2 linked regions of the Rattus norvegicus genome follow. The protein of the gene in region 2 interacts with the protein of the main gene of each other region in a biochemical or structural test. Links are inferred from orthologs where the notes say so. Each region holds a gene or a part of one and is shown on either strand. Other genes may lie near its edges.

Region 1 (3,368 bases), on a different chromosome or scaffold from region 2:
AAATAGCAGCCTGGGGAGATATGGCCTTTCTGCTAGTAAGATGGGATTCACTGATGGTGTGTGGGGCTAGGCAAGGAGGTAAGGTAATCTCTCACTTCTGCCCCTTTCCCTAGGATTCTTTGGAGCTCTGCTCTCTCTTCTGTGCCAGAATTTCTCCATGGTGGATGTGGTGATGCTTCTCCATGGCCATTTCCAGCCACTACAGCGGCTCCAGCCACAGCTACGATCTTTCTTCCACCAGCACTACCTGGGTGGCCAGGAGCCCACGTCCAGCAACATCCGGGTGAGTGAAAGCCCAGACCCAGGGGTTTCCTCCTTCCCACCTTTATTTACTCTTGCCTCCTGCCTGTCAGTCAGTGTTAGCTGTGCTTCAGCTCAAGCCTTGCAGTTGTAGGGTAGGAGTGAGGCTCTTGAAGGCTGTGGGCTAAAGCTGACCTGTGATGCTCCCTACAGATGGCAACCCACACGTTGATCACGGGGCTGGAAGAGTATGTACGGGAGAGTTTCGTAAGTGTCCTGTGTGTGTGTCCTTCCTGTGTTTGGGTAGGGAAGCGGGGGTGTCCCTGCTGCCTCTGCCTTTTAGATCTTAAGGTACTGAGTTGGAGTTCTTGGTGTGTCTTGTCTCAGTCTTTGGTGCAGGTTCAGCCAGGTGTGGATATCATCCGGACAAATTTAGAATTTCTCCAGGAGCAATTTAACAGCATTGCTGCTCACGTGCTGCACTGTACAGGTCAGGCTGGGGGCCAGCCAAGCCTAGGTAGTTCACTGTCCATGCAGGACTGCCCGAATCACGTGCCCTCTCCCATCCTCCCTGCAGACAGTGGATTTGGAGCCCGGCTGCTGGAGCTATGTAACCAGGGCCTGTTTGAATGCTTGGCCCTGAACCTGCACTGCTTGGGGGGCCAGCAAATGGAGCTTGCTGCTGTCATCAATGGCCGAATTGTAAGTACCACCCAATTCTAGGTCTCCAGCTTTTTTATTATATCCTGTGGGTTTTAATTTTCTTCTCCAAACACTCTACCTGTTGCCCTGGATGTAATAGATTGCAAAAGCAGGTTGAGAGTTATGTGGTCAATCTGCTTTCTGGCCCTCAGCGCCGCATGTCTCGTGGGGTGAATCCATCCTTGGTGAGCTGGCTGACAACTATGATGGGACTCAGGCTTCAGGTGGTCTTAGAGCACATGCCCGTGGGTCCCGACGCCATCCTCAGATATGTGCGCAGGATTGGTGATCCTCCTCAGGTGAGGGACCGGATAGTGGGTGGTGTTGGGATGTGAAGAAACTGAAGAGATGGACTGGACTGACCCTTCCACCACACCCCTTATATTTCCTTGACCAATTTCACAGGCACTTCCTGAAGAGCCAATGGAAGTTCAGGGAGCAGAAAGAACTTCCCCTGAGCCTCAGGTACTGCTTGAGAAGGCAAATAATGTGGAGTAGATAGCTGGAAGCAGAGGGGCTTGGGGCAAAGAGTTCTGAAGTCTGGGCCTTCCTGTTCCATGCCTTCCAGAGAGAGGATGCTTCCCCAGCCCCCGGAACAACAGCAGAAGAAGCCATGTCCCGAGGTCCACCCCCTGCTCCTGAAGGAGGTTCCCGAGACGAACAGGATGGAGCTTCAGCCGATGCAGAGCCCTGGGCAGCTGCAGTCCCCCCTGTAAGTGGCAGGATGGTATCCAGTGGGTTCAAGAGCTGTAAGTTGTGGGAATTATGTCAAATCCTCTCCTCCCCAGGAATGGGTACCTATTATCCAGCAGGACATTCAGAGCCAGCGGAAGGTGAAACCTCAGCCGCCCCTGAGTGATGCCTACCTCAGTGGCATGCCTGCCAAGAGACGAAAGGTTGGTCTCTGCTGAGGATGTGTCTCTGTCAAGCACCCTTGTTGAGCTAGAAGCTTTTGCTTGTAGTTCAGTCTCTTCATCTAGTTAGAAAGCCTGTTTGTGAGTCAGGCTTGTTCAGGATTGGTACATTGGTACATGGTACATACTGTTTTCTGGCAGTTCTGGTTCCTCAGCTGTGTCATCTCCCAGGTGATTAGGTGTGTAAGGTGGACTTTGTCTTGGAGAGTAGCTAGCTCTGAATCCCAGGTGCTTTGACCTGCTGGTGCCTTCTTTGCTGTCAGAACCATGTGCAGGCTGTTCCCTGCCCTCTACTAGTCTACACTGGTTAACTGATGGAAAGGGTGAACTGGGTGGTGGCACTGGGTCTGATGTTGATCCCCTTTTCCCTCTCAACCTGTCCCCCAGACAATGCAGGGTGAGGGCCCCCAGCTGCTACTCTCAGAGGCAGTGAGCCGGGCAGCTAAGGCAGCCGGAGCTCGGCCCCTGACAAGCCCCGAGAGCCTGAGCCGGGACCTGGAGGCACCAGAGGTTCAGGAGAGCTACAGGCAGCAGGTGCCCCCACTTTGCAGCAGAATAGGGATGGTCTATTGGGAGGGGTTGGGCCAGGTTCCTGCTTCCTTGGATCTATTCAGAGATGATTTGGTAGTGTGGGGGCTGCCCATTGATGGTCAGGGTTTTTTCCTTGTGGCATTTGGGAAGGCTTAGCAATCTCATACTGGGCTTGCCAGCGTGGCTGGTGGGGAAAGTATTTAAGGGTTAGGGTCTTTGTGCTTTCTGGGATCATAGGTCTAAATCGGGCTCCTGACAGGCTTGTGTTTTCTCTTTGTAGCTCCGGTCTGATATTCAAAAACGACTGCAGGAAGATCCCAACTACAGCCCCCAGCGCTTCCCTAATGCCCACCGGGCATTTGCTGATGACCCCTAGCTTTCTCACCAGGGGACCATTTCCCCCCTTCCTTCACAGTATTTAAGAAATAAAAGTCGGATTTTCCTGGCTCCTTTTGTCTGGTAGTGTTGAGTACCTTTTTACACATTTAAACCTAGCTTCGGAGACCCCCCCCCCAAAAAAAAAAAAAAAAAAAACTGACCCACCTAGCTCCACATACGTATCATCCTCTCCTTATGGAGTGTATACAGCCTGTTTAGAGCTTTTATATAAAACCGGTATTTAAATACTCAAGTTCTCAGTTGAAGCAGCTTCATGGCACCCATGAGCCTCTGCTGCCCGATTCCAGCCCTCAGAGCCCTTTGCAATCTGACCTGATAACCAAGTTCCGTGTCAAAGAAAGTCAGGAACATGGGAGGCCATGTGACACTAAGGTGATTTCAATGCAATGGCCTCACAGCACGTGGCGATATTTAGAGAATGCCACTAGGGGGTGGGGCTTGGAGGTTCAGAAGCCAAGTCAGTTGACCCAGACATACAAAGCTTGGCTCCTCTAGTACATGCTGAAGGACGAGACCTCTCAACTTGTAAGCCAGTCCCAATTAAATGTTTGAGTGGCTGTCTTCACCACACTAGAAACCCAA
Region 2 (4,314 bases):
ATGTCAAGGTAACTTCAGATAAAAGTTCAAAGAAGCATCCAGCTCGGAGAGAATAAAAAGCAGGTGTAGGTGTGAAACAGAGCATGCTCACATGCATACACGCGTAAGCCACAGAAATGAACTGGGTAAAGGACTTGAGACACCGGCTGTGTTAAGGCCAGCATCAATTACAAGACGGAAAGGGAAGCAGGTGCAAGGAGCAGAGATTCCCTTTCCCTGTCTGTCACCTTTGTTTACTTTGACCTTTGAAACATGAACTTGTAGGATCTGTCTAAAAAGTTTTAAGTTTAGAACTAACCGAACCAGTTCTGAAATTCCAACTACTTTTCTCACTCCATGTGGCAGAGGAGTGGCAAACCAAAGATGGCTGTCATAAGCAACAAGTCAGCCTGAGCGCCACACCTGGAGAGAGGGAGCCGCAAAGGCTTCTCACCTCCTGTCTCTCACTGGGTCAACTCCTCTTACCTCTGGTCTCCTTCTAAGCCAGAAAAGCTGTAGTCGGTCCTTCCCCACACAGCACTCCTACCTAGAAACCCCACCGGGTCTATGTGTTCTATGTGTCTATGTGTTCACCTATCATAAGCTGCCTTATTTGCCTTATTTGCATATGAGTCATTTAAGGGTAGGGGAAGTGCTGTTGGCAGCTGTGTCTTCCAGAGTGCTGCAAATGGCACCTCTGAAGGGTCTGTTTCTGCCTGTGCTAATCCCAACCCTCCCGAGATACTACTGCAATGTGTTCTACAAAGACAAGCTCTAGAGAGTCGAACAACTAGTAAGATTTGCCACTGGCAACTCACAAAGGACAGGTTCTTGTCTATCTTGCTTGACGTTGGCAGACAATGGTTTGTGTTTATGGGGGTCATGGGGGGGTGGTTAATGTCCAAGGCTTATGGGTGGGGCTCAAGAAGCATCCATTTTGACAAAGGCCCACCACACTGTCACTCAATGTTCCTGCCAGGCCCAGGGAAAGCCTTTTGAGTGCTGAAGCTGTTAGAGCACAAAGTAAACACTAAAGGAAAAACAATGGTCACAGCACATCCAAGACAGATCTGGGCAGACACTGTGCAACCAACATAAGCATGCCGAAACTCCACAGAGGAGATGGAAGGAAACCGAATGGAGAACTGGGGAACAAGGATTCAAAGGAGGGAATTAACCTGCACGAGGGAAGAATGTATAAAGAAAGAGAACGTTTCTTAAAAACGACAATTCTCAGAAAAAAACCAAAAGGCCTTAGATTAATGTTTTATGGAGAGGTATTAACCTTGGAATTTGAACATGGGTTTTGCAAGAAGAAACTTACGGGAAAAAAATCATTAAACAATACTACTGACTGTTTCATTAATACAAATAATGGTTCCTGTTCTCTCAGGCTTAAAACAAGGTATCAAAGACTACCTACAGTATAGTCTTCACCCTTGTGAAAGGCACAATTCTAAGTTTCTTATCCTAAAGATGAACAGTTCGTCTTTTCACAGGAGTAGAGAAAGGGGAACTTCACCCTTCACTGCCTTCTATAAACTATGTACCAAAGGACCAGGAGGCCTAATCTACAGCCCACGATTTTCACAAATCCCATTGCTTCCTGATGAAGCACAGTGGGAATAATTACAACAAATGAGATGCGTTTAGTTCTACAAACTTGGAACATTAACCCCTCAGTCATTTGCAGCCTACTCTAGAAGCCGAGCAAGGGGACGAGAACCCACCAAGCCGTAGGAAATCCAAGTGATAATTTTTAAATCCTGGAGCAACTTTTCATATTTCTGAGGGTTTCGTAGAAGAGGCACTCAAGTGCAAGGTGAGAGCAAAATTTTCTCAGATCTGCCCAGCCTAAAATGATGTAATAAACGAAGCCAGTACTTGTGCCATGTGAACGTTGCTTATCTCGCACCGGCAGACAAACCAGAACCCTTGTTTTAAAATGGATCGCAAAGGAAGAGCTGCCACACCAATCCGAATGTTTTGCTGCCTTCTGTCAAAAGGGAACAGACACGAACCGTCGTGAAAAAGAAAAAAAGGATGTTGCTGGTCTGTTTGCTTAGCGTCCACCGGAGCTAATCCATTGCCAAATAGCAACATTTCGAAGTTGTTTTGTGAAGAGTAAAATGTCCCCCCTAACTCTGGGCCCCCTCTTCATCCGCAATCCTCCCCCAACGACGCCGAGCTGGACCCGACTTGTCCGGGCTCCTCACTGCCTCGGGTCGCTGCGCCCCGCCGCCCTGGAGTCCGCGGGCCCCACCGCCCTTGCCTCGGCTGTTCTTCGCAGCCGGACACCTTCACTACGCGGCCCGCCACGCTCGCAGCGCCGCTCGGCCTCGAGCCCCACGCGAGGGCCAGTCTAGCCTCAGTCGGGGTCAGGGCCCGGCCACGCCCCCCTGCGGATAATGGGTGACATGGCGGCTCCCGCCCGCCCCCGCGCCCGGCCCGCAGCCTCGCTCACCCACACGAACAGGCTGTCCGACAGCAGGTACTGGGCCACGTCGCGGACCCGGGGGCCGCCGGGGGTCAGGCGCGCCGGCGCGAGCGCCTCGGGCTGCAGTGGGGCCGTTAGCGGCTCCGGCTCGCCCGACCCGTCCTCGGGCTGGCTGAGGGCGCGGTAGGCGCTGACGATGGTGCCCAGCAAGGCCAGGCCGCTGAGGCCCGTGTAAGTGCGGAGGCTGGGCCACGGGAAGCGCTCGAGGAAGAGCAGCGGCATGGCGGCGGCGGCGGGCTCCGGCGCCCGAGGCTCCCCGCGCTGCGGCCAGGCGCCTGCGGCGGCCTCGAGAACGGCGCCCACGGGCTCTGGCGTCGCTGCCGCCGCCGCTGCCGCCGCCGCTGCCGCTGCCGCCGCCGCCGCGCCGGGCCGGGCCGGGCCGCTCCTGGCTGCTCGCGCCGCTCCGCCCCGCGCCGCTCCCGCTGCTGCCCCTGCCGGCGCGGAAGAGCCTCGGCGGACTCGGGGCGGGCCACCGCCCCTAGCGGGTCGCGGGCGGGACGGGCGCGGGGGCGCGGCCTTCGTCCCCCGCCCACAGCGGGCGCGCAGCAGCCCCAAATGCACAAGACCCGACCTAGGGCCCCGCGTCCGGGTCCCCTGCAGCATCCCTGGCGACCCTGGGCCCACTGACGCCACGGGCGCGCCGGAGCCCGGCTCTAGGGTGAGCCGGGCCTGTGGGCAATGACGGCAGGCCTGTGAGCGTGGTCAGGCGGCAGGACACCGGTCCGTTGCTCTTCCCTGGCAAAGCAGGTAAACCCTCCATCCCACCACCCTGTGGACTAGAGGCTTCCTTGTGTCCTAAAGAGGAGACATGATGCTTAGGAAGTAACAGAAGCCTTGCGATAGAATGTTTTTAAAACAGAAGCCCGGAGATAGAATATTTTTTAAACGGAGTAACCAATTTAACAGGAAATGAAAATCTGTTCCCTCTTTCACCACAGGTGAGAATGTCAAATGTTGCTGAGCTTCTTGGAAAATACCTGTTCCTAAAAGATAAACCAAGGGGTGACCGTTTGTCCTGGCAGTTTCACTGCTTGTTAAAAAAACATACAAGAGAAACGAAAACATATACCCACACAGTCTCTACATAGAGGTTGACAGTAGCATGTTTCCTAATAACCCAGAGGGAGGAAACTCCAGTGGAATATAGTGTTTGAAAATAAAGTACAGACACATGCCACAAAATCAGTGAACGTTGAAGATGCCTGAGTCAAGCCACACAGAGCTAAATTCTATCCCGACGATAAAGGCAAATGCATGGAGTGTGGAGTATTAGTCCCCTTCTACTGGAGGTGAGGTTGGGGTACTAGTTTCCTGACGTGAGAATATTCTAAAACTGTTGTTATACAACTATGAATACACTCGAAGTCACAGAATTGTACACTATAACCAGCAAGTTACATCTCTATATGTGAATTACATAAAATAACATAGGGTACACTTTTTAATCATATTCCCAAGCCGTGTGTTAGTGCCTACCTCAGAATGTATGCTCTGTAAACAGTTGTTGAATTTTCTAAAGGGGATAAACTGTCTATTTTTTCAAGCCAAATATTTCTGTAGTTTTTTTTTTAATCTGAAAATTAATCACTTTGTTATAATTCTTAAAAACACCCATCATGGGTCTTTATACGATAGAGTTCCCTTTGGTTTGCTCCCCAGTCATTTGCAAGATGGCTCAGGGGACGACCTGAGTTTGATTCTCCTAACTCCCCCAAGTCCTCGGACTTCTTTATCTGTGTCTCCCTCATGCATAACTAAATGCAAAAATAAAACACCAAGCCTTAACACTACTGCCCAAATACTGGACATCTTTATTCTGAAGGAATGAGGGTGGTAAT

The links. The genes of interacting proteins can lie anywhere in the genome.
Region 1: the proteins of Amfr (region 2) and Bag6 form a complex in vitro, tested with the Homo sapiens proteins (2 studies listed by BioGRID, with this or other methods). The link is inferred for Rattus norvegicus from reciprocal best matches to the Homo sapiens genes AMFR and BAG6.

What each region holds. Positions count from the first base shown.
Region 1 is NC_086038.1:3,680,073-3,683,440, reverse strand, and holds the end of Bag6 (large proline-rich protein BAG6), read left to right. Parts: exon of another isoform or gene 1-113; coding exon 114-283; exon of another isoform or gene 284-453; coding exon 454-507; exon of another isoform or gene 508-627; coding exon 628-730; exon of another isoform or gene 731-817; coding exon 818-942; exon of another isoform or gene 943-1,094; coding exon 1,095-1,241; exon of another isoform or gene 1,242-1,347; coding exon 1,348-1,407; exon of another isoform or gene 1,408-1,510; coding exon 1,511-1,654; exon of another isoform or gene 1,655-1,730; coding exon 1,731-1,838; exon of another isoform or gene 1,839-2,243; coding exon 2,244-2,390; exon of another isoform or gene 2,391-2,667; coding exon 2,668-2,763; 3' UTR 2,764-2,834; downstream 2,835-3,368. UniProt on the Homo sapiens protein: ATP-independent molecular chaperone preventing the aggregation of misfolded and hydrophobic patches-containing proteins.
Region 2 is NC_086037.1:11,001,065-11,005,378, reverse strand, and holds the start of Amfr (autocrine motility factor receptor), read right to left. Parts: upstream 2,929-4,314; 5' UTR 2,699-2,928; coding exon 2,444-2,698; intron 1,998-2,443; exon of another isoform or gene 1,710-1,997; intron 1-1,709. UniProt on the Homo sapiens protein: E3 ubiquitin-protein ligase that mediates the polyubiquitination of lysine and cysteine residues on target proteins, such as CD3D, CYP3A4, CFTR, INSIG1, SOAT2/ACAT2 and APOB for proteasomal degradation.